Linked DNA regions of Rhinolophus ferrumequinum. The protein of the gene in region 1 purifies or fractionates together with the protein of each later gene. This does not show direct contact. Links are inferred from orthologs where the notes say so. Each region holds a gene or a part of one and is shown in the gene's direction. Other genes may lie near its edges.

Region 1 (10,522 bases):
CCAGTCCATCGCTAGCAATAGGCTAACTGTTCTTTTCTCTCACTCTCCGGCCACTATATTTTAATTTAGAGCCTCAGAGAATGGTTTTCTTGTCAGAAATTATAGGTAAAAGAAAGGATTCTTTGCTCTGCTGGCTCTGGCAATGGTGATGGCAGCTGCACACTCCAAACTCCTTCTGTGGTGGTGAACTTCCTGCTTTTCTGATCTCAAGTAAAATATTCCCTCCTTGTTTGCATCTTTAGTCCTTCCAGCAATTTTGTAATCTTTTTGATTAAAATACCTAGAATGGGTTCTGGTTTACTGTACCTTGTAGTAGTCAAGGTGTTGTTAAAGTAAAAGGCAATAAACAGATGCTTTCAACCATAAAACAAAACTACACAAAACAAAAACCTCCAGGAAGACAATACTCATGGGCCCTTCTTGAAAAAAGTGACTTGACAGTGAAATTCAGCCAAATAAGAGTTGGATAAAAATAAAGGACACAGAAAGGAAGAACTTTGTTTAAAAGATGGATGATTAAAAATAAAGCAGAGGGGCGGCCGGATGACTCAATTGGTTAGAGCACCAGCTCTCAACAACAAGGTTGCTGGTTCAGTTCCCACATGGGATGGTGGGCTGTGCCCCCTGCAACTAAAGATTGAAAACGGCGACTGGACTTGGAGCTGAGCCACAACTAGATTAAAAGACAATGACTTGACTTGGAGCTGATGGGCCCTGGAAAAACACATTGTTCCCCAACATTCCCCAACAAAAACATTAAAAAAAATTAAATAAATATAGCAGAATAAGGGGATAAGAAATGCACAGTGCCTGGCACATAGTAGGTACCCAGTATATTAAGTACTTAATGAATGAATATAGGGTGGTTATGGAAGACCATGCTTTTAAGGTGACATAATTGAGCAGAAACCTTTATGATTAAGGGAGTGAAAAATGGAAATTTTGGGCAATAAATTTTTAAGTCAGGTTATAAAATGTTACAAACATCAGGAAAAACACCATCCTTACTATCTGCATTTTATAATAGAACTACGTAGGTGATTATGGCAGCTACCACCACCTGATGGCAGCACACTAAGTAAAACCATTGAAGGAGAGATCCCGTCTGTGGTGGTGAAACTAAACTGAATGGAGGCAAATATCACAGAGGCCTAAGAATTCTGTGTGGTGTCTCTAGCCTCTGAATCGGAAACTTGTTAGATATTTCACTGGACTTTCTGATTTCATCAGAAAACACACACACACAATATCTCTCCTTTATAGGTTTTAAGACTTCCAGATTCCATTCCTGTATTATAAATCGTGAAAAGATCAGATTTACTTTGCCTACCTTGTTATCTTTGCTTCTCCATTTTGAAACACATCAGCGTAACGTGGTCACCATTGCTTTGGGGTGGGAAGGGGTGTCTTTTTATTACCTGGGCAATCCAGATTATATAGCCATGTGAAGACCTGCTGATTTTATAGTGTCTCTTTTCCTATAAATAATTGGAGCTCTTGTCTTTGCACTAATTTTGTAGGATTGCCAGTGTTTTGTTAAAACACAAAATTCAACTGAGTAAATTTGAAGAGTAGCATGCCATCTAGCACCTGTAAGATTACTCCAAGTCGTTGTACAGAAGGAAGGTTTTTATTGGAAGAAGGGTAGGGCAAGAGCGCTATAGACAAAAGAAAAGAAAGGATTATTTTTAGACCAGACGTCTTCTTTTTTGGGGAGAAGACAACAAAAAGCAAGAGTTTTTATCATGCGTATTGCCTCTTCTGTCTTTGGGGGAATGGGGCCTTTCTTTGAGGGCCCAAAGATTACCTTACTGGTGTTTGACCAGAAAATTCCAGATGATTTGATTAAGATTACATTTCTGGGAGAGGATAAAACTGCAATTAGATCGGGTATTAACTCTAGGTTTGGTGTCATTGGCTTTTATCACCAGTGATGCCATTTTGGGCCTGTGATTTTTCTCTATAAGAGTTCCCACATCTAAGTATAGAGAAGTGGTGTCTTAATTGTTCAATTCGATTAATGTTTATGGACAAGCCAGAGTCTATGTAGAGTAGCACACAGGGTTTGCGTGGTCTGCTCCTGTTTATACTTCAGGTCAGAGCTTGGGTGCTGCCTGCACCAGAAGGACTTCCTGTGACTTCACTCCTGCTGAGGTTTCCCTTCGTCTCATACCCTTTAACTTATCATACCACATTTAATGATTTGTTCACTTGTCTCTCTTTACCTTTTGCCTGGGAGCTCTGTGAGAACAGGGAAGGTGTCTATCTTGCTCATGATTGTATTACCACTTCTGAGCACAGTGGCTGGCACATAGTAAGTATCCAGTATATATATTTTCTCGAATGAATAAATTTCCAGGATCCTTAGTCCTCTCTCTCTTTTTTAAATTCTCAAAATGTGTTCCGTTTTTCATTGTTAAAGAAAAAATAATTGCTTAATCCACAGCAACTCAATATTGTTTACACTTAAATTCTTCCCCTTGTAATTCCTCAGAACAAGGGCATTACCTTCCTAACAATAATATAATTATCACAACGAGGACATTAACAATGATACCTCATCTACAGATTTTGTTCAGATTTTGCCATTGATGTCCTTTGCAGCAAAAAGAAAAATGTTTTCACTTACCCAGGATTCAGTCCTAGATCACAAGTTGTATTTAGTACTCATACCACTTTCGTCTCCTTTAATCTAGAGGAATTCCTCAGTTTTTGTCTGTCACAGCAATGCTGAAGGATGTGTAATTTTGTAGACTGTCCCTCCGTTGGGGTTTGCTGATATTTCCTCATGATTGCACGCGTGCATTTGTGACAGGAATACCACAGAAGTGATGTTGTGTCCTTCTCAGTGCATCATATGATGGTGTCTATTTATCCCATTACTCGTGATATTCATTATAATCATCTGAATAAAGCGGTATCTATCAAGTTTCTCTACTATCATTAGTAACTTGTGAGGAGATACTTTGAGGCTGTACACATAATCCTGTTTCTCACCATATTTTCACCAATTAGTTTTAGCATCCGTTGATGAGCCTTGCCTGATATGACTATAACTCATATGGTTGTCAAGTGATGGCTTCCAAATTCCATCATCGCATCTATCTTTGGAATTTGGAATTCTACCTTAACAGTAATTCAGTTATTTTTTTAAAATCATTTTCCTTTTTTACTGTAGTTTCTAAAAAATAAAAAAGGCTTTTCAACAGCTTACTACTTCTGCTTTATACATATACATATTTTACATCCTCCAAGCACCTGATGAATTATGGATGCATTGTTTCCCATTGCAAAGCCCTTGTAGACTTTTCTAACTGGCTGGTTACTCAGGTGAGTGCTCAGTTGTCCCATGTGGGAGAGTCCTGTAGGATCCCAGAGGACTGTAAGAGCTCTGGGAAGGACTTTGAAACAGAGAAGCCTGGATTCAAATGGTTTTAGCCTCTTACCCCCTGAGCAACCTTAAGCTAATTATTGGACCACTCAGGGTCTCACTTTTATTCCTGTCTGCTTGAAGGCAGAAACCACATCTCGACTCCACTTTGAATCCCTCATACAATGTGTGCACAGGTAAACCCACAGTTCATGTCTGTTGAACTGAACTATATCGCTTCTATAGATATCTTAGTCCATTTTCTTTTTTATTTATTTGAAGAAGCTCCTTTGTCTTCAAATCTTTTTAAAGGTTCTTCTAAATTCCTTTGAGGCCATTCAGTTTTTGGTTTACATCTACCTTTCTACACTTTTAAGTTTTGCTCCTTTTGCATAGGTATGTTTCTACTTTCAAAAATATGGTGCTGTTTCTTTATCTTGGCAGTTCCATTTAGATATTTATAAATACTTTTCAGATTTCTTTCTGGCTACTTAATGTTTTGCATTTCTACTTTTTTAAAAAAAAATTAAACTCACCCTTTGTTTTCATTATTTTTTCAAAAATTAATATTGCTTTCAGATAAGAGTCAAGGGAGGATGGGGAGAAATTTCATTCTTATTTGCAGGGGAATCAGTGTGGATATTTCCCGTTCCACCCCACAGGGCAAAAGTTAACTCTTGTTTTTGGTATGTGGAGGCTGAATCAAAATCTCTTACTCCCCCTCAATTTCTATTCATTACTTAGGTTTGAAGAGTGTACCTAAGGTTATGTAGCAGCAAATTTTGATTCCTGATTCTCAAGGTTAGGAACTTGCTAATCAATGCTTCCTTCTTGTAAAATAGTCACATCAGTCTTCTGGAAATAAAACAGGAAAGCCTGGGTAGCAGAGATGTTGGATGCCTTGAGTCACATTCCCTAGCCCTTCCTCACTCTGATTTCACCCACAGCTGTAATGATGGTTCTTTTGTAAGCTCAGATTCATGCTGCCTGTATCCCACCCCAAAAGCAAGCATACAGATTCTGCTTTTCTACATCAGGTTAAGGAAGTCCTCTCTATTCTGTGCACAAGTACAATTCAGGAGGGAAGGGAGTTAACAGCCCTGGTAAAACTCTCAACCAGTACAAGACAAGAGTAGCGAATAAATGCTCCAACCTCAAGAGGGATATTCAGGGGAGCATTCTGTATGTTTTCTCAGAGGTCCTCAAGGAATAAGCAGTGACTTCAACAATGAACCTTGATATTGACTTTTTTTCTTTCTTTTCTCATTCTTCTTTACCCATCAGTTCTGTTCCCTGGAAACAGAAACTTCTCAAACTATCAGCACCAAAATCATTGTCCCAGGATCTGCCTTTGGGGGTGCCCAAACTAAGCCAAACTTCATTCAACAAACATTTACTAAGTGACTGTTCTATGCTAGGTAGTGAGATAAAAGATCTAGAAGGTAAAATTCCTAGTTCCTGCCCCAAAGTGTATAATTGGGAAACAAACAAATAAATGGTTACAAAAAAAGTTACAATATATCGTTGGAGATGCTATGTTCAAGTGGCAAGAATAGAGAGATGCATGAAGACATGGGGGAGGAGTCACCTAACCTATACCTCGGAGGTATACATTGCTTGAGCTAATGGATGAAGCGGATCAAATACAGCTAGAAGAACTCCATATCATACAAATGTCAACTGAATACTCAATTGATACCTCTGTGTGTTATGCTCTGCTCTGTTGTGGTATGCAGTACATGACATGATTTTAGGTAATACATGGATGGACATTTTAACTTTTTTGTGGTTATTATGTTAATGTGTACTAGAATAAAAATAAGCAACACAATAAACTTGACTTTACAGAGTACTACGGTTTAGGATGAGGCTTATTTAATGAGTTGAAATTGGCTTTAAAGAAAAACACTGAGTAATAATACCTGGATGCAGATTGGCAAAGATTGTGTGGATGGTATGCAGATTAATGAAGTTTGGGAAACAGTGCTGTAGAAGAAGGAAAATCTAAAAAGAAATTCCTGCCTTCTAGAAACTCAACAGTTTGTTAGGGACACACAAACCCATAAGCAAGGATAATTAATGTTATGATAAATTTAGAAACCATGTACAGGGGAAGATAGGAAAGTAGTAAGGAGTAAAGTGAAGGAGAGGCTAGAGTCTACAGGATCAGTTGGAAGGCTATTGCTCTAGTCTAGGGGAGAGATAATAACTGCCTGAATTACGGAGTGGCTATAGAAATGGAAGGAAGACAAATAATGTGACAGGCTCATTGCAACCATCCTGTGAAAACCTTACTGGTTGCAAACAGCACGGAGGTGAAACCTGTCCAGCCAAGTCCAGAGCAGTTTTGTATACACACACACACACACACACACACACACACACACGGAGTGGAGAGCTGAATTAATCAATCAACAATACTATATTAGAAGCATGTTTTTATTTGGCTTCAGTTATCGGAGCGTTTTGGTGTGAATTACTCCAACATTTGCCCTATTTTTTTTTTCTGCTTGACTCAGAGGCTAGAGAAACGCTGACATAATAACGCTTTCTACTTTTAAGAGCTTTATATTCTCCATCCTCAAAACAGAAAACTGACTTAAAGGAGGTTAAGTAACTTGCTGGAGGTAATGCAGCTAATAAATGAAGTAGAAAGGATTAAACCCGGCGTTCTGCCTCTAGAGTATCTATTCTTAACACACCACCAGAATAAACAGATAGGGCAGACAATGCTAAAGCAGGTCAAACGTCAGTGTTGGATCGTGAAACACTCTCATTGGTGGCAGACGACCTAGTACTGAGATCACGGTTTCTCCATCTGTAAAGTAGACATATGACACTAGGAGTTTGGTGCAAAGAAAGCGATAATGAATGTAAAAGTGAATTTCAAATTATGTATGTGGCACCACAGACCAGTTTTGCGTAATATGAATACGCGAACTCGTAACTGCTACGAACCAGTCTGCGAGGCTCGTAGCGCCAGAGCGAGGCCCCGCCCCTGAGGCTCCGCCCACCGCGAGCGGCAGGTGGGGCCGGCAGATCTTCCTTGCGCATGCGGAAACTGCTGCCCGCTCCCACCTCTAACCCAGGCTGAGAGTAGCTGCTGTTTCTGAGAGGACGATTCGTAAGGAGGCTTCTGGCGCGGTTTCCATTTGCTTTCCCTTCTGCGGGCCCTGGCCGTACTTCAGCGGTGTGTAGACCGTGCTCCGTTCTCATCTACCTGCCCGACTTTCTGCAGAGGTGTCTGTCATTGGCCCAAGAGTTCGCTGTCGAAAGTGCCGGCCCCCGCGCCGGCGCCGGCTGTAGCCGGGTGGGAAGGCTCAAGATGGCGTGCCTGTTGGAGACCCCAATCCGCATGAGCGTCCTCTCGGTGAGTGACCCGCCGCAGCCGCCCACCCGGGAGCTCGGGCCCGGCTCGCAGCATTCACCCAAAACGCAGCGTGTCTCCTGGGCACCACCCCTTAGGGTCGCCTCCGGCTCAGCTTTGGGCCGGGGTGTGAGAGAGGGTGGGCGGGAGTGATAGACGGAACCCCGGCCGAGCCCGAGACGTCTCCAACTCCCGGAGCTCCTACCCGTGCCGGTTCTCAGGACGGCGTCCAGCGGGTGGGGTGCTTGGGCGTACGGGCAGCCGGCTTGGCGACGCGGCTCTGGCTTTGCCAGGCGCTTCACTGAGCCTTTCTCTTAGTGGTGCCGCTTCTCTGGGGCGCAGGGCTCTGTCCTGTAAGGCGCCGGGCTTGCCGCTGGCCTGAGAACTAGCGCCCACTCTGCCCCCCGAGGCTTTGGCAAGAAGAGGTGCAGGCTCCACAGCCTCCGAGATGCCAGGCCAGGTCTGTGTGGCTTCTGTCGCGTCTCAGCACCCGGGCACGGGCTAGAGCAGCTAGCTTCTTGGCAACGGGGATTTCATATCAGTTGCAACGTCTCCCAGTGTATGTAGTCATTTAAGTCCCTTTTCTTTACTTTGGAGGTCGCAGCTCTGAATCTAAAGGAACCTTCGCCTAGCATTTCTTTTTTTTTTTCTTCATGGGGAGTCAGACGTTGAAACAACAGATCAAATTTTCCTATTATTGAAAGAAGAGAACGTATTGACATGCCAGGAAGTAATACCTAGTTTTTGTGTGTGTTTTTTCCCTAGCATAAAAAATAAAAACAAAACAGGACTTTCATTATGTTACTCTAGAGAGAACCAGTACCAGAGGTGAAAGTTACTGGGCGATAACTTGGAAGGGTTTTGGAACAAATTAGATCCATCCAACTCTGAGTGATCCGTTTACCAACGGTCCATTTGCTATTGCTGGAAACAAGCAGGCAAACACTGGTTGACCATCTTTTAGACTTCTGGAAGAGTCAGTCTGATATTGAGGGGGTAGTTGGGTTACAGACGACTAGTCAGATTCTTAGGGTCTGTGACTCCAACTGGTTTCTTTTCTCTTCCCTAACTTCTCCCACAAACACACTCAGATATCTTGAAGCACCTAGGATATTTGCTTGTCATTCAGGGTTAGAGCATTTTGGTATACTGCAACCTTGATAATTTAATTGGGGAGGGGAGCTGTCAATAAATTTGTCTCCTAATCCACTTTAGCAGTCCTTTTTCTTACTTTTAAACTGCAACTAGGGGAATACTGTTCACCTAAGTATTGAATCAGATTAGCCGATTACTCCACCTCTGACTATAATAGCCAGGAATGTTTTGTGGGAGAGCAGGCCAACGACTTTCCCCTCATTTTTTAAGAAAGTACGTGTCTTGACTGTTCTCAGTTCCCTTTTACTTCCTCTGTCTTTTATTTCACCTGAAGCTTCTTTAATTTTTTAATTTTTGTTAACTTGTATAGTGCATACAATTGAAAATTTTGATTTGTTTCATGCCTTCAGTAAATAATATTTCCTGTTTAAGTTTATTAAAAAATTTCTTGAAGAGTATTCTCTACTTCTAGTGGGGATTTACTTTAGCCCTAGTCTCATTGGGGGCTTTATTATTCTTATTTTTTTTTAAGTTTTTACAGTCCAAAAGTCTGGTCTGTCCATTCTTCAGTCCTAGAGCCTTAGGAAATCAGAGATTTGAATAAGTGACTTAAAACTCACTGATTATACTAATTTAAAGTGAATCCTGTTCATTTCAAAGTACTGCCCAGGGCGTCACTTTTTGAAACTCAACGTGCAAGTGGAACAGGAAATAGTAATCAAATTATCTTTAAAATAATTGATTTCTTTAATAGGGTACTTATTGTGCACCAGTTATGTACAACACCCTGTAACATATACTTTAGGGAATGCAAGGATGAGATCAGATATGCCTCTCAGGGAGCTCACAGTCTGAATGACTCGCTGCTCAACGGAATTCGTGTGAGGGGCAAATCAAATGGTTTCTAAAGGGTTTTTATTCAAGGCCTGTTATAGGTTCTTCCTTCTAGTGGTCTTATTCACTCTTGTGACCATAACTGTGATCAACTCACACATGTACATTGCCAGCCTTGACTTTTGTCCATCTAATGTCACGTCTTCAGTTGTTTGGATGTTATCCATCACTTTCAACAAAACACATTGCATCTCCTAAGAAGACTTAGTCATGACTTCCCATTTCTGTTAATGGTACTACCATGTTTCCCCGAAAATAAGACCTAGCCAGATAATCAGCTCTAATGCGTCTTTTGGAGCAAAAATTAATATAAGACCTGGTTTTATTTTATTATAAGACCAGCTATAATATAAGTCTGGGTCTTATATTAATTTTTGCTCCAGAAGACGCATTAGAGCTGATTATCTGGCTAGGTCTTATTTTCGGGGAAACATGGTATCTTTAACTGATAACTTACTGTAAACCCCTTGAATTATCTCTGGCTCTTTCCATTTTTCATGCTCCTGTATCTAATCAGTCCTTACATTCTGTTAGCTCGTTACTCTTGGTGTCTCTCACATCTGTCTGTTCCCATGGTCACCCTCTCATTCAGAACATTATCATTTTGGGCCTGCATTACCACAGTGTCCTTGCAAGTATTTTTTACTGCCTCGAGTGTCTTACCCTCCCAGTTCAAGTTCAAGTTCATTCTCTACATTAATTTTTCTGTACAATACATTGGATATGCCATGCCCTTTTTCAGTTTTTTAATGGGTTTTTATTGCTGAAGGGCTGACATTTCATTCTCAGCTTCGGATGTAAGATTCTTTATCCTCTATGTGGACCTTCCATCCCTTGTAAACTGGCTTTCTCAAGTTGAAGTGATCTAGGGTTCACCCAAACCCCAGTAACTCTTATTGTCAGCCTGCTTGTTTGTACACATGAATTATAGCTCTGTATAGATTTATTCACGTGATATGCTTTGAGCTTCTGTCATTTACATGGCATTGGGTTTGGGAATACAGTGGCGAGCTACACAGACCTGTGTCTGCCCTTTTGGAGATTTTAGCCTAATAGGAGAAGTAGATTTCAAATGGTCACACAGTTCTTTGTTTATGAATGGCAGTTAGTGTTATGAATGAAAAATATAGGGTGCTGTTATAAGCAGGTAATAGGGGAATATGATCTACGGTGGAGGGCAGTGAGGTTAGGGAGGGTTTCCCCGAAGATGTGACAATGAGCTGAGAGTTAAGGATGAGTAAGAATTAACTAGAAAAATAGAAGAGCATTTTATTTTTCTAAAAGCAAAGGGAACTGCTTTTTCAGAGACTCTTAGGCCTTTAATAGTTACTCTATTTTATCTGCTTAGAGAGTAAATTAATTTAATTTTTCTTAATCCTGCTACTATTTATAGCACTGTCCTCATGTACTATGTACTCAATAAATGTTTGATTGGACTATATTTTGGGGAGTTGGACAAACTCCAGCTCTTTCCAGGCTGCACCATGATCACCCATTATCCTCCTTTGGTGTGCACTTAGCGTTACATCACCCCTTTCAACAAATTTATAAATTCTCTCATGTTTCCCAAACTGTTGGATGATTTTTTACATCAATTGCATTTTAAAAAACAATCTTTTTGAAATAATTACAGAGTCACAGGAAGTTGCAGAGAGATTCCTGTGTATACTTCACCCAGTGTCCTCCACTGGTTACATTTTATATAACTATAGTACAATATGGAAGCCAGGGAATTAATAGTGGTATAAGTATGTGTATAGGTACATATTATTTTATCACATGTGTATATTTTTGTA
Region 2 (10,643 bases), on another chromosome or scaffold:
ATATGCTGTGAAGTAGGGTTCTAAATATTTCAAAGGTAAATTTGATTAGGTGCGATTTCACTTTATATGCTGACTTTAGAATCCAGCCTCGGCTTAAGATTCAATTGCATTACACTAAGATGTCCAATCAGGAATGATAATTGAGAAGAAAGGTCTGGAAAAGGCATGGATTTGGGTTGGCAATACCTTGCAAGTGTCTAGTTAATATTTGTTGAATGAATAAGTGGATGAAATTTATATTTGAGTCATCAAATAAATTAAATTGAGTGTAAATTCTTGAGGGTTTTCATCCCTTCTGTATGTATTTTTCAATATAACTAGAATAATCTTATACACATTGTTTTATAACCTGCTTTTAAATAATAATATTTATTGTCTTTATTTGCAAAAGTAAAACATTTTCACTGGAAAAAAGGTCAAGGACCTATAAATAAACGCCACTTGTCAAGCAGAGCCAGAAATACAATCCGTTCTTTTTCTATTCATTTATATTTATAAAAGAATTGAATTGATAAGTAAGACTATTATATGATCTGCTTTAAATATTACATTATTGTCAACAATGTTACTTTTCCCAGCAAAAAAGCATCCTAGAAGAAAAGATTTCTCACTGGATAAAATTTAGGAAAAAGAAACCTTCTTTCCTGTGTATCATTAGTCCTACAGCTTGACTATCTCAAACGGTGATTGGAGGGAGACAGAGCATAAAGAGGAGAGCTTCATTTTAATGCATACTAGTCACAAATGGGCCAAGAGAAGCAAATGTGAAGTATTCAACCATTGCAAGGACCCCTTCACCTCAAAGAGGTAGTGGAGGCCTTAAATAAGATCCTGCTCAGCTACAGAGAAGTATATATGCAAAATATGTGTCATAAAATAAGATCATATACTATTTGCAGACTATTCTTTATTGTAGAAGCTACACATATCCACTGAAAACATGTAGAAGATTCTACTAAAAAGCATATAAAAGAATATATAAATCACCTATAAGCCACCAACCATCCAATAATGCCCACTTCTAATGTTTTGGTACGTATTATTACATAATATTTTCTATGCATGTATACATATAAATACCTACATATATATTATTTTTACAAATTGGATCCTCGGCAGGTTACTGTTTGTAACCTCTTTTCATGTGCCAATATATTACAAATACTTTCATTTCAATAAAGATATGACTGCCTTATATTTGCCAGATATTTTATTTCTTCTGCATGTTTTCAAAATTTTATCTCAATCATTTTTCTAAATATTATGAATTAATATATGCCCATTAAAGATAAAATTTAAATATATAAATGCAACATTTAGAAAAGTTCACTTTATATTGAATACTCATTTCAAATATATCCTATGGGAATAGTTAAGTATGTATTCATTCAAATTTCTAATATGATGTAGAAATACAGTAATACCCCGCAGTAACTTGGCACTGGATATAACATAATTTGTGATGGGGCCTGGAGACAGGGGAAAACAGAAGGGTGATGATTAAGCTGAAGTGCTGAATAAACAGTTATGAGGAGGCATCAGAACACAGCTGAGTCCCTGATGGATTTGGATTGTGTATTGAGCTTACCAAATATGCTCACATCAGTCTTTCCATTCATATAACCCAAAATTTTACAGGAATAAATTGTGTAGACTTCACTTACCCCATTATGGTGGAATTTCATTATATTCTCATATTTTAAATACACAAAAATAGATATATGTATGCTGTGACAAAATGTATTAACCTTCAATTTGCCTTTTTCTTAACAATATACGCATATGATGGGCATTTTTTCATGTGAGTAAATATAACTCCACATCATTATTTTTTCATCACTGTGTAGTATTGCACTGTATGAATAATCAAACTTTTCTTAAACCAATCCCCTTTTAGGAATATTTAGGGTTTTTACTTTTAAAAAGAAAATCTATTACTACAACTAATGCAATGACCATATTTGAGATGGGAGTATTTCTGCATGATAAACCGTTAGAAGAGGAATTGATGTGTCCAAAAGCACATATATTTTAAAGTTTGAGATTACCAAAATGACCTCCAAAAATGTACTATTTTATTCTTTGTTTTTGTGTTTTGCTTATATTTTCATTTATTTATTATTTTTATTGAGGCATGATTGACATATAACATTATATTAGTTTCAGGTGTACAAAGTAATGATTTTATATGTGTGTATTGCAAAATAATCAGCACAATAAGTAGTGAACATCCATATACCATTTTATATTCTCAAAGCGCATGTAAATGTTTTTCCATATCTTCACCAACTGTGAGTATAAGCAGTATTTTTCATCTTTTCTAATTGCACAGGTGAAAAATTAACTCTCACTTTTGTTCCCAATAGATCTCATTTTAATGTTTTCTTAGACATCTATGATATGGTTGTTACATAATTTAACCTGTTCCCTATTGTAAGACATTAAAGTTTCTTCTTAATTGTTTCTACTATAAGGAATTGTGCTGAATATCTTAATAGTAATTTTCCATTTGTAAACGGTACATACCAGTGGTGCAGTTTGAATTGTTTCAACAGAATTATAAGTTTGCCTTTTTTATCCTGTAGCATAATCATCTGGGAGAATCCTCAGTTTATGAGAATGTGTACATACACGTGTGAATGTGCATATACAACCATGTGCATGGTTGGGTGCATATCTGCTATTTCCTAGAACAATTCTCTTTCCTTCTGCTCCTTCATCGTTGCTTTTCATTTGTGGCTTCTCTTTGTATATTCAGGTCCAAGTCAAAGGATTGATACTACGAATTCAGGTCTACAGACTTTATTGTAGTAAATCACTGTGACTGCCACTAAGTATTTTCTTAGGATGTATACCTAAGAATGGATTTACAGATTCGGAAAGAATGCATATTTTCAGTACATAGCAATTGCCTATGTACTATCTAGAAAGGTTGACTGATTCAGATTCCATGACCTAGAAATAAGTGAGAAAGCCCTTGGGGGTAGTGCAGAACATGTCCAAAAATGTTTGCAGTGAACCTGCTTTCAGACGACAGCCTTTGTCAATAGACTTAAGCACCCCTAAGGAGGAGCAAGTAGACCTCTACCCAGCAAGGCAGCATGAGACAAGGCAGGGTAATGGTAAGGACACAGGGCCTAGGTTCAGTCAGACTGGTCTCCTCTGTCCTTCCCACCCTCCGTCTGTCTCTTGCCCACCCTCTGAGGCCCAGGTCAAGGTCGTTTTCCTCTTTGAGGCTGTCTCTAACTAATCGGCTAACTGGCTATTGACCTTCTCTGAGCTCCAGTTGGCCTAACAGTCTACCCTTTGCTTTAGCTCTTTCTCCAAATGGCTTCATGTGAGGGTTTGCAGTTATATTATCTATTCCACCCCTAGGGTGAACCCACAGAGGATATGGCCCACTCTCAGGAGGATAGACCTAAAGAGGCACAAGCAGACCTTGGATTTGGGCTCCAGATCCTTTGTGCAGGATATTCTATGGTCCTACACATCTAGAATGTGGTCTAGAAAGAAAAAGGTAAAGGCTCCAAGTAGGAACATTTTCTTATCCCATTGACTCTTCACTACTTGGGGAAGAGGGCCTCGAGAGGAGGGCCAGACACTGACCCTCTAAAAGTGTGGCCTCAGGAAGAGCCCTTTTCTGCTCAGATCTAAGGAGATAATGTCTTGGGGCATATTGCTTAAACCCTCCATTTAATTTCTCCATATACAAAATGGAAATGAAAATATCTTCCTTACAATTGTTGTTAGGAGTATAAAATGAGATAATGGCAGCAAAGCACCTTTCTCTTTTCAGGACATTCTAAAGATTTCTGGAACCATTTCCATCAAGCTGGAGAAAAACAACTACCATTCAGGATGTTTCAATCTTCCTAAGTGTCCTGGCATAGAATTAACCCCTGGTCATTCACAAACGGTGAAAGGATTCACAGACCCAAAAAAAAGTTATTAAAGAGCAAAGAAAGTTATTAAAGTTCAGGCAGAGAGAATGCCCATGGCAGTGTCTAAAGATGATGGCTGCCACGGGTAATAAGGAGAGAAATACTGGCGGGGGTAGAGGGGGTTGGGGTGGGGGTGAGGGTCGTCGCCGGGGCAGAGTCTTAGAGTGGACAGCTGCACCTAACTTCACGTTACATTTTTCTTATATAGGAAAGGGGAGTCAGTCAGGCAGGTCTGAGGGCTAACATTGCTTCTTGGGGTCTGGTCTGTTTTAAGATAATGTTATCTCCAGACTCCGGACTTGGATTCAGCCATCGCATCGCAGCCTGGAACTTTATGCGTCACCAGTAAAAACTGCAAGGGAGTTGTAAATTCGATCCCGGTGTCCGGTCGCCTGAGGATTAAGAAATTGCTCTTTTGGGTTATGATTCTGTTAATTAAATGGATTCACGAGGTATGGGTAGCCTTGAGAAAGGGAACAAAACACTTCTCAAGTTAATCAGTGAGGGAAGAAACAAAGAAGAAACAGCTGAATATCAGGATGGATCTAACTGCAAGCTAAATTTAACTACAGGTAGCTAGATAGCGAGCTATGCAGTGAGTCAAACTGCAAACTAGCTAAGTCTAACAGCGTTATTGATTTACCAGATTTCACCCTTACATTAAGGACAATATATTCAACTGTTTTGCTAATCACATGCTGCTTTCTAAAGTTGGGAGGTTACTTGTGCTTTTCTGTTTTAGAGGTAAGGCCAATACAGAGAGAGTAACTTACTAAGGGTCACACACTCAATTTGCAACAAAGTGAAATGATCAGCCTCTCTGGCTGCATCTTGCTCAAGCCTGCTTTGTTCCCATTACCTTCAGGTTGATAGCTTCTTGCAAAGAGACATGCTAATCATTGGAGGAATTCTGCTTGTAGTTTGAGGTTTAAAAATACAGTCCCTTGCCAGAGGGTGACTCTCCTGAGGAGATAAGGGAAGTATGTATTGTTTATCGAAGATTTGCAGGAACCTCGTGAGGGGACTCACATAATCTAGGGTCAACAGACTAAGCACAATCTTCCCCAGATCCCTGCTGGGGCCTCGATGTCTGCAGTCATCATTCACCTCTTGCCCCTCCCATTTCCCCTTCCTTCGACATGAAAGAAGCCTGACTCTAATTTAAGATGGATTTGAGGATTAGGTCTCTCATCTTCTCAGTTGGTGTCTACTCCATCAATAAACCTTTCCTTACTCCGAACTCTGACATTTTGAGTTTTGGCCTTTCAAAGTGTCAGGCACAGGGACTTTGGACAGATAACAAGTTCTAGGTCTGGCACTGGGACTAACATCTCCTGTCTCTCACATCAGGGTTCAGTCCAGCAGAACCAAACCATTATATCTTGGGTTTTCTGATGTTCAAATACACATGTTTCCCAGAAGATAGAATAACGTGACAGAAGAGCAAGTGAAACAAAATGAGATGCAGTCAGGTTTTTTTTTTCTTTACACATAATCTATTGAGGTTTTTATTCTGCCTCACAAATGGGCATCGAAACTTACACAAGACAAAAATACATGTTTATATCTCCTGTTATTTTTCAAATGTTACCTCTGAGAGCTATGCAATTTTTATTGGCAAATTTGTGATTTTTACCAAAAAATGAGGTGAGGTTGAAAGGTAACCAATATCCGTTGAAGACTTTATATGACTGAAGTGCTTTGCACCAAGTGTTATCATTTAGAATTCCCACAAATTATGAGGTGTATGTTATTATTCCTTTCTTCTAGATGAGGAAACAATCGATGGTTCTGCAGGCAGCACAGCTTCTTGGTAAATACCATCACCAGGAGTCAAACATTACTGTTTTTTTCCATTTTGAATAATTTTCCCGAAGTGAAATCCTAATATAATTATAATAGCTTGTACTTTTTAAAGCACCATATGCCAAGCACTATTCTCAGGGCTGTATATTCTGACTATTAAAAAAAAATGCTACTTAAAAAAAAGAATATAAAAGTATTAGGAATAAAGTAAAAATATCATTCAAAAATCTCATTCTTGTCCCAGACTTTGTTTTTTAAACAACCTGCTGCCAAACCAGCTCTGCTCCACAACAGCCAAAGACCAGATTGTAGATGAAATGGAGGTTGGGGGAGGGGCGATGGCTGTAGCAGTTCTTAATGCTGGGAGCTGAAGGCAGGAAGAGATAATTCTGTAAAAAAGTAGAAAAGTTTAGTAGCTCCAGCAAAAGATGTAGTACCTCCCTAGTAATCAGAGATGGGCAAATAAAAATTTCCCCTCTGGAATACGGGACAACAAAAAAAGACTGACAGGGTCAAACGTATAGGGGTGGGGCAGAGGGCGGGATTACTTCTGCCGCGTTTTTGGTGGGAGTGGAAACTGGGGACCCGAGCTCACTGGTGACGTAGGTCTCACGTGACCAGGAGTCGACGTGTGCAGAAGTCCTGCTAGTTTGGTCCTTGTTCTCGCCTGGGTACCAGCTTCATTCTGTAGCGCGACTGCGGGGCCTGAGGCCAGGGAAAGGAGAAAGCCAATCTGCCGGAATTTTGCAGGTTGGTGTTCAAATACGTGCTGCTTGGGGATTTCTAGGGTAGAGGTGGCCTAGGGCAGAGATTTGAAGGAGTCCTGGTCATGTCCACCTCTCCACCTCCGGGTCTGCAGGAAATAATGACCTTTGGGAAAGGGCCTAGGGATCTCGGGAGAAGGACAGAGAGACCTGTGATAGTTTTAAAATCCTCCTCTGCCATCTCAGACCGCTTTCCCAACACCTACCCTCCCCCCAATCCCCGCCTCAGTCTTAAACATAGTTTGGAAATAATATGCTCTTCCAATTCCTTGTCTGATGGGAAATTCGAGCTAACTTGCACTGTTGAGAGGGGGAGAACTGGAGGAAACAGAAGGTGAGAAAGTTTCCATAACCGAGAACCTTAAAGAGAAAAAAGGTGCGTGGTGCTGGTCACCAAGCGCTCGCCCCACCCCCCCTCCACTCTCTCCTCCCTTCCTCCCTCCCCCTCCTTTTTCTCGTTTGTTCGCAGATCTGCAGGTCTGTTGTTCATAGCACTGAGCAAAGCTAGAAAAGACGAGAAAGAAACTGACCGGATCAATACTGGTAGGTGAGAGGATATATTATAAAGACGCCTGGGGGAGTGGGGGGGGAGGTGGGCGAGGGCGGGACAGAAGTATGGGCCCCAGGGTCTCTCCCTACCCCAACCCGGAGTCTCCCAGCCTACTCTGTTCTGGGAGGGTCTTCTGTTAAGTCCATGCGGGGGCAGCGGGGTGGGGGATGGTTGAGGAGGGCCTTGGAAATGGCTGGAGGGAGGGAGCAGAGAGCAGTGAGGAGGTGTAAAGTGGAGGTAAGAGGGGCCTCAGGGAAATTGTTGATTGAATCTCCTGGGTGGAAGATATTTGATGATAGTTCTGAATAAAAGAAAAGCAGATGCTGAGACTTATGTCCAGAGCACCAGTCCAATCACCAAGCCTTTGACTGACTTACCATCTCCTTGCTTTCTAGAAGTAATTGTATTCAAAGAGGAATAAGCAGAGAAAAAGGAGGAAAGGAGGGAAGAGAGCCACAAGATGAAACCCTGTCAAAGTGAAGGAAAACCAGAAAATGAGAGCGAACCAAAGCTTGAGGAAGAGCCAAAGCCTGAGGAAAAGCCAGAGGAGGAGGAAGAACCAGAAGAGGAGGAAAAAACAGAAGGAACTTTTAGAGAAAGGCTGATTCAGTCTCTCCAGGAATTTAAAGAAGATATACACAACAGGCATTTAAGCAAGGATGATATGTTTAGAGAGGTGAATGAAATAGATGAGATAAGGAGAGTAAGAAACAAACTTATAGTGATGCGTTGGAAGGTTAATCGAAACCATCCTTACCCCTACTTAATGTAGTTTATCTTGATTTTTATTCTTTCTGATACTAACATTGCCATATAGCTTTCTTTTGATTTGCATTTTCCTGATAAACATTTGTCCATTTTTCTACTTTAACTTGTTGCTTGCTATTAGTGGTTTTAGATGCATCTCTTCTTATATTGCATTCTCACAGTTTATCATATTTTGAACCAATCCCCAAGTCTCTGCCTTTTAATAGGAGAGCTTTACTCATTTGTACAAAAAGAAGTTCCTGACAGGATATAAAATGAAAAAAACGTTACTAAGTAATATGTGAATATCATATTTTTAAAAGGGAAGAGTACATTTGTATATTGCATATATGCACAGAAAAACGTGTGAAGGATGAAAGACAAAAAAAGTACAGTCAGTGGTAGGATTATGAGTGATTTTTAAAATTCTGCTTATTTGTATTTTTCCTTATTCTTAGAATGTACACACATTATGTTAAAATAATAAAAGTTTTATAACAAAAAAAAGTAACCAACGGCATTTACCAGTTTATTTCTAAAGGCAATGCGGCATTTGATATTTCTTGACAGAATTTTAGAAGCAAATGTAAACTCCAAATTACCACTAGACCACCTAGCTAGAAGAATGAATTTTACAACTTATCTGTAAAATAGAGATGATAATGATCTCTAAGATATCTTCTGAGGATGAAATAAGGATATGACGGTGAGCTGTATCTGACAGGTTTTTTCCCCCTGTCTGCCCATGCAGGATCCCAACTCCCCAAGAGATTTGTTTCAGCTATTTGGGAGGGTGGAGAAAGTAGTTCTCACCTGTGCTTAAGAACAAATCCAGGCCAACTGTTAGGTGGGTGCCACCTTTATGTTCCTCTCCTGCTGTGCCTGCCCAACCTCCCAAACCCCCTCCCCTTGATACCACCATGTATATTGGACATTCCTGCCCCTTCTTCCACATCCTATACCTTTCAGGCCCCTATCGCTGCTGATGTTTTGGAATTCTCAAATAGCGAAGCCCAACATTTCTTCAGAAACCCCCATGGGCTGAATTCCCAGATTGACCTCTACAGAAGTGGGGAGAATGGCCATATTTTCAATTTAGACAGACATTTATGCAGGGTCACTTGGGCCACGATATCTTACAGATATCTTGGCAACTTGGGGATTTTAGTCATAAGTCTCCTCTTCCCCATAAGACTACGGGTCTATTTGGGGGGGGTTGGACCAGAAGACAAGTCTGACTAACAGTATTATGCTTTAGTGAGTTGCTTCTCTGAGTCTAAAGAGTGGTTTTATCTTCCTGACTCTTACTTTCTTAGTGTAAGTGATCTCTTCCAGAAGACTGGTGCCAGGCCCTCCTCACTAGTTCAACAGGTATTCCTCAACCTGTGTAAATTGTAAAGGGAGGTTCAAGTCAGATTTGGGGATATTCCCATCTTTACCTGGAAACATGAAAGTGCTATGTAAGACAGTGTGTCTACATCAAAATCTATATATGTATAGATGGCTCACAGTTGTGCCAGTTGTGTTATTTTATTATTCCTTTGTGCTGCTCTTTTTGGGGCAATTCATGTCTCCAGACTGTTGTTCAAGTATGCAACACCCTGATGGATGGTGGTGGGGCTGGATTCCGGCAGGAGTGTGATGAGGGTCCAGGAACTCACCGGCAGTTTTACAGACAGGACGAATCCATCCCTCTGGCACTCTGAGTGATGGCACTCAGGCTGGATGTGGAAGGGCTCACCCCAAACACAATCCTCTCCAGGATGGTCTGACTTCGATTTCTCTGCTCCAGCCTGCAGCAGGCACCAGACCCTCCTAGACTGGTAGAATTGCTGTGCTGGACATTCTTATCTGGAGGACAACAACTGTCACCATTACATGTCAGAGCACTGGACTTCCTTTCCCTCCTTTTTCCTTCACAAGCGGGCTTCATGGGAAATTTTTGTAGGGAAGGAGGTAAGACGTCAAAATTCACTACCAAAAAACATTGGTTGTGATAGTCTTTGTTCCAGCCATGACTACTCTGGATATAATCAGTTAACTTGGGGTTACAGTAGAAGGGCCTGGTGGTAGGTGGAGATGATTTTAGACAGTACACAAACATTTTAAATTGTAATATCCATGTATATTTGAATGTGTATTAATGAATACTCTGTTTAAGGTAAATGATGATAGTTTAGATTTAAGATGATGTTACAAAGTTCCCTTTTGAAAAGAGTATTCAAATTAAATGAGTCAATTTGAAAACAAACATGAGAATTGAGGGTTGCTAGATGGGGGTGGTGGGGATAAGGGGGGAGGTGACCACAGTCAGTAACCACAAGATGGCCACGGGGTTACAAAAGTCAGTTTGGGGAATGTAATCAATAATGTTGTAAAGATTTTGTAGGGTATCTGATGGACACTGGTCTCATTAGGGAGACCACCTCAGGGATGATGTAGATGCCTGATCACTGCACTGTACACCTGAAGCTGAAGCTGAACAATAATGAATGTCAACTACAATTTTATATATATATATATACATATATACATATATATATATACATATATATATGTATATATATATATGTATATATATATTTACAAGAAGTGGAGTACAGCATTATTAGGAATAGAGACAGTGGAAATGTAATGGCTGTGTGCAATGTCAGAGGGGTAGTAGATGGGAGAGGGGGATTGTCACTGTGAGGGATGTAAATGATAAATGTCTAACTATTACATTGTTTTGTGCACCTAAAACTAACTAAAAAATGTTAAAAAAAAAAACAGGCATAACAATATTAACAAAATAGCATAGGTGGTATACAGATATGTCAAAAATCATCCTACTAG

What was found.
Region 2: the proteins of ARMC8 (region 1) and TCEAL9 purify together in Homo sapiens (affinity purification with mass spectrometry; 3 studies listed by BioGRID and IntAct, with this or other methods). This does not show direct contact. The link is inferred for Rhinolophus ferrumequinum from reciprocal best matches to the Homo sapiens genes ARMC8 and TCEAL9.

The regions. Positions count from the first base shown.
Region 1 is NC_046300.1:37,364,742-37,375,263, forward strand, and holds the start of ARMC8 (armadillo repeat-containing protein 8), read left to right. Parts: upstream 1-6,119; 5' UTR 6,120-6,695; coding exon 6,696-6,740; intron 6,741-10,522. UniProt on the Homo sapiens protein: Component of the CTLH E3 ubiquitin-protein ligase complex that selectively accepts ubiquitin from UBE2H and mediates ubiquitination and subsequent proteasomal degradation of the transcription factor HBP1.
Region 2 is NC_046284.1:51,647,115-51,657,757, reverse strand, and holds TCEAL9 (transcription elongation factor A protein-like 9), read left to right. Parts: upstream 1-6,355; 5' UTR 6,356-6,497; intron 6,498-6,980; 5' UTR 6,981-7,054; intron 7,055-7,456; exon of another isoform or gene 7,457-7,459; 5' UTR 7,460-7,521; coding exon 7,522-7,833; 3' UTR 7,834-8,272; downstream 8,273-10,643. UniProt on the Homo sapiens protein: May be involved in transcriptional regulation.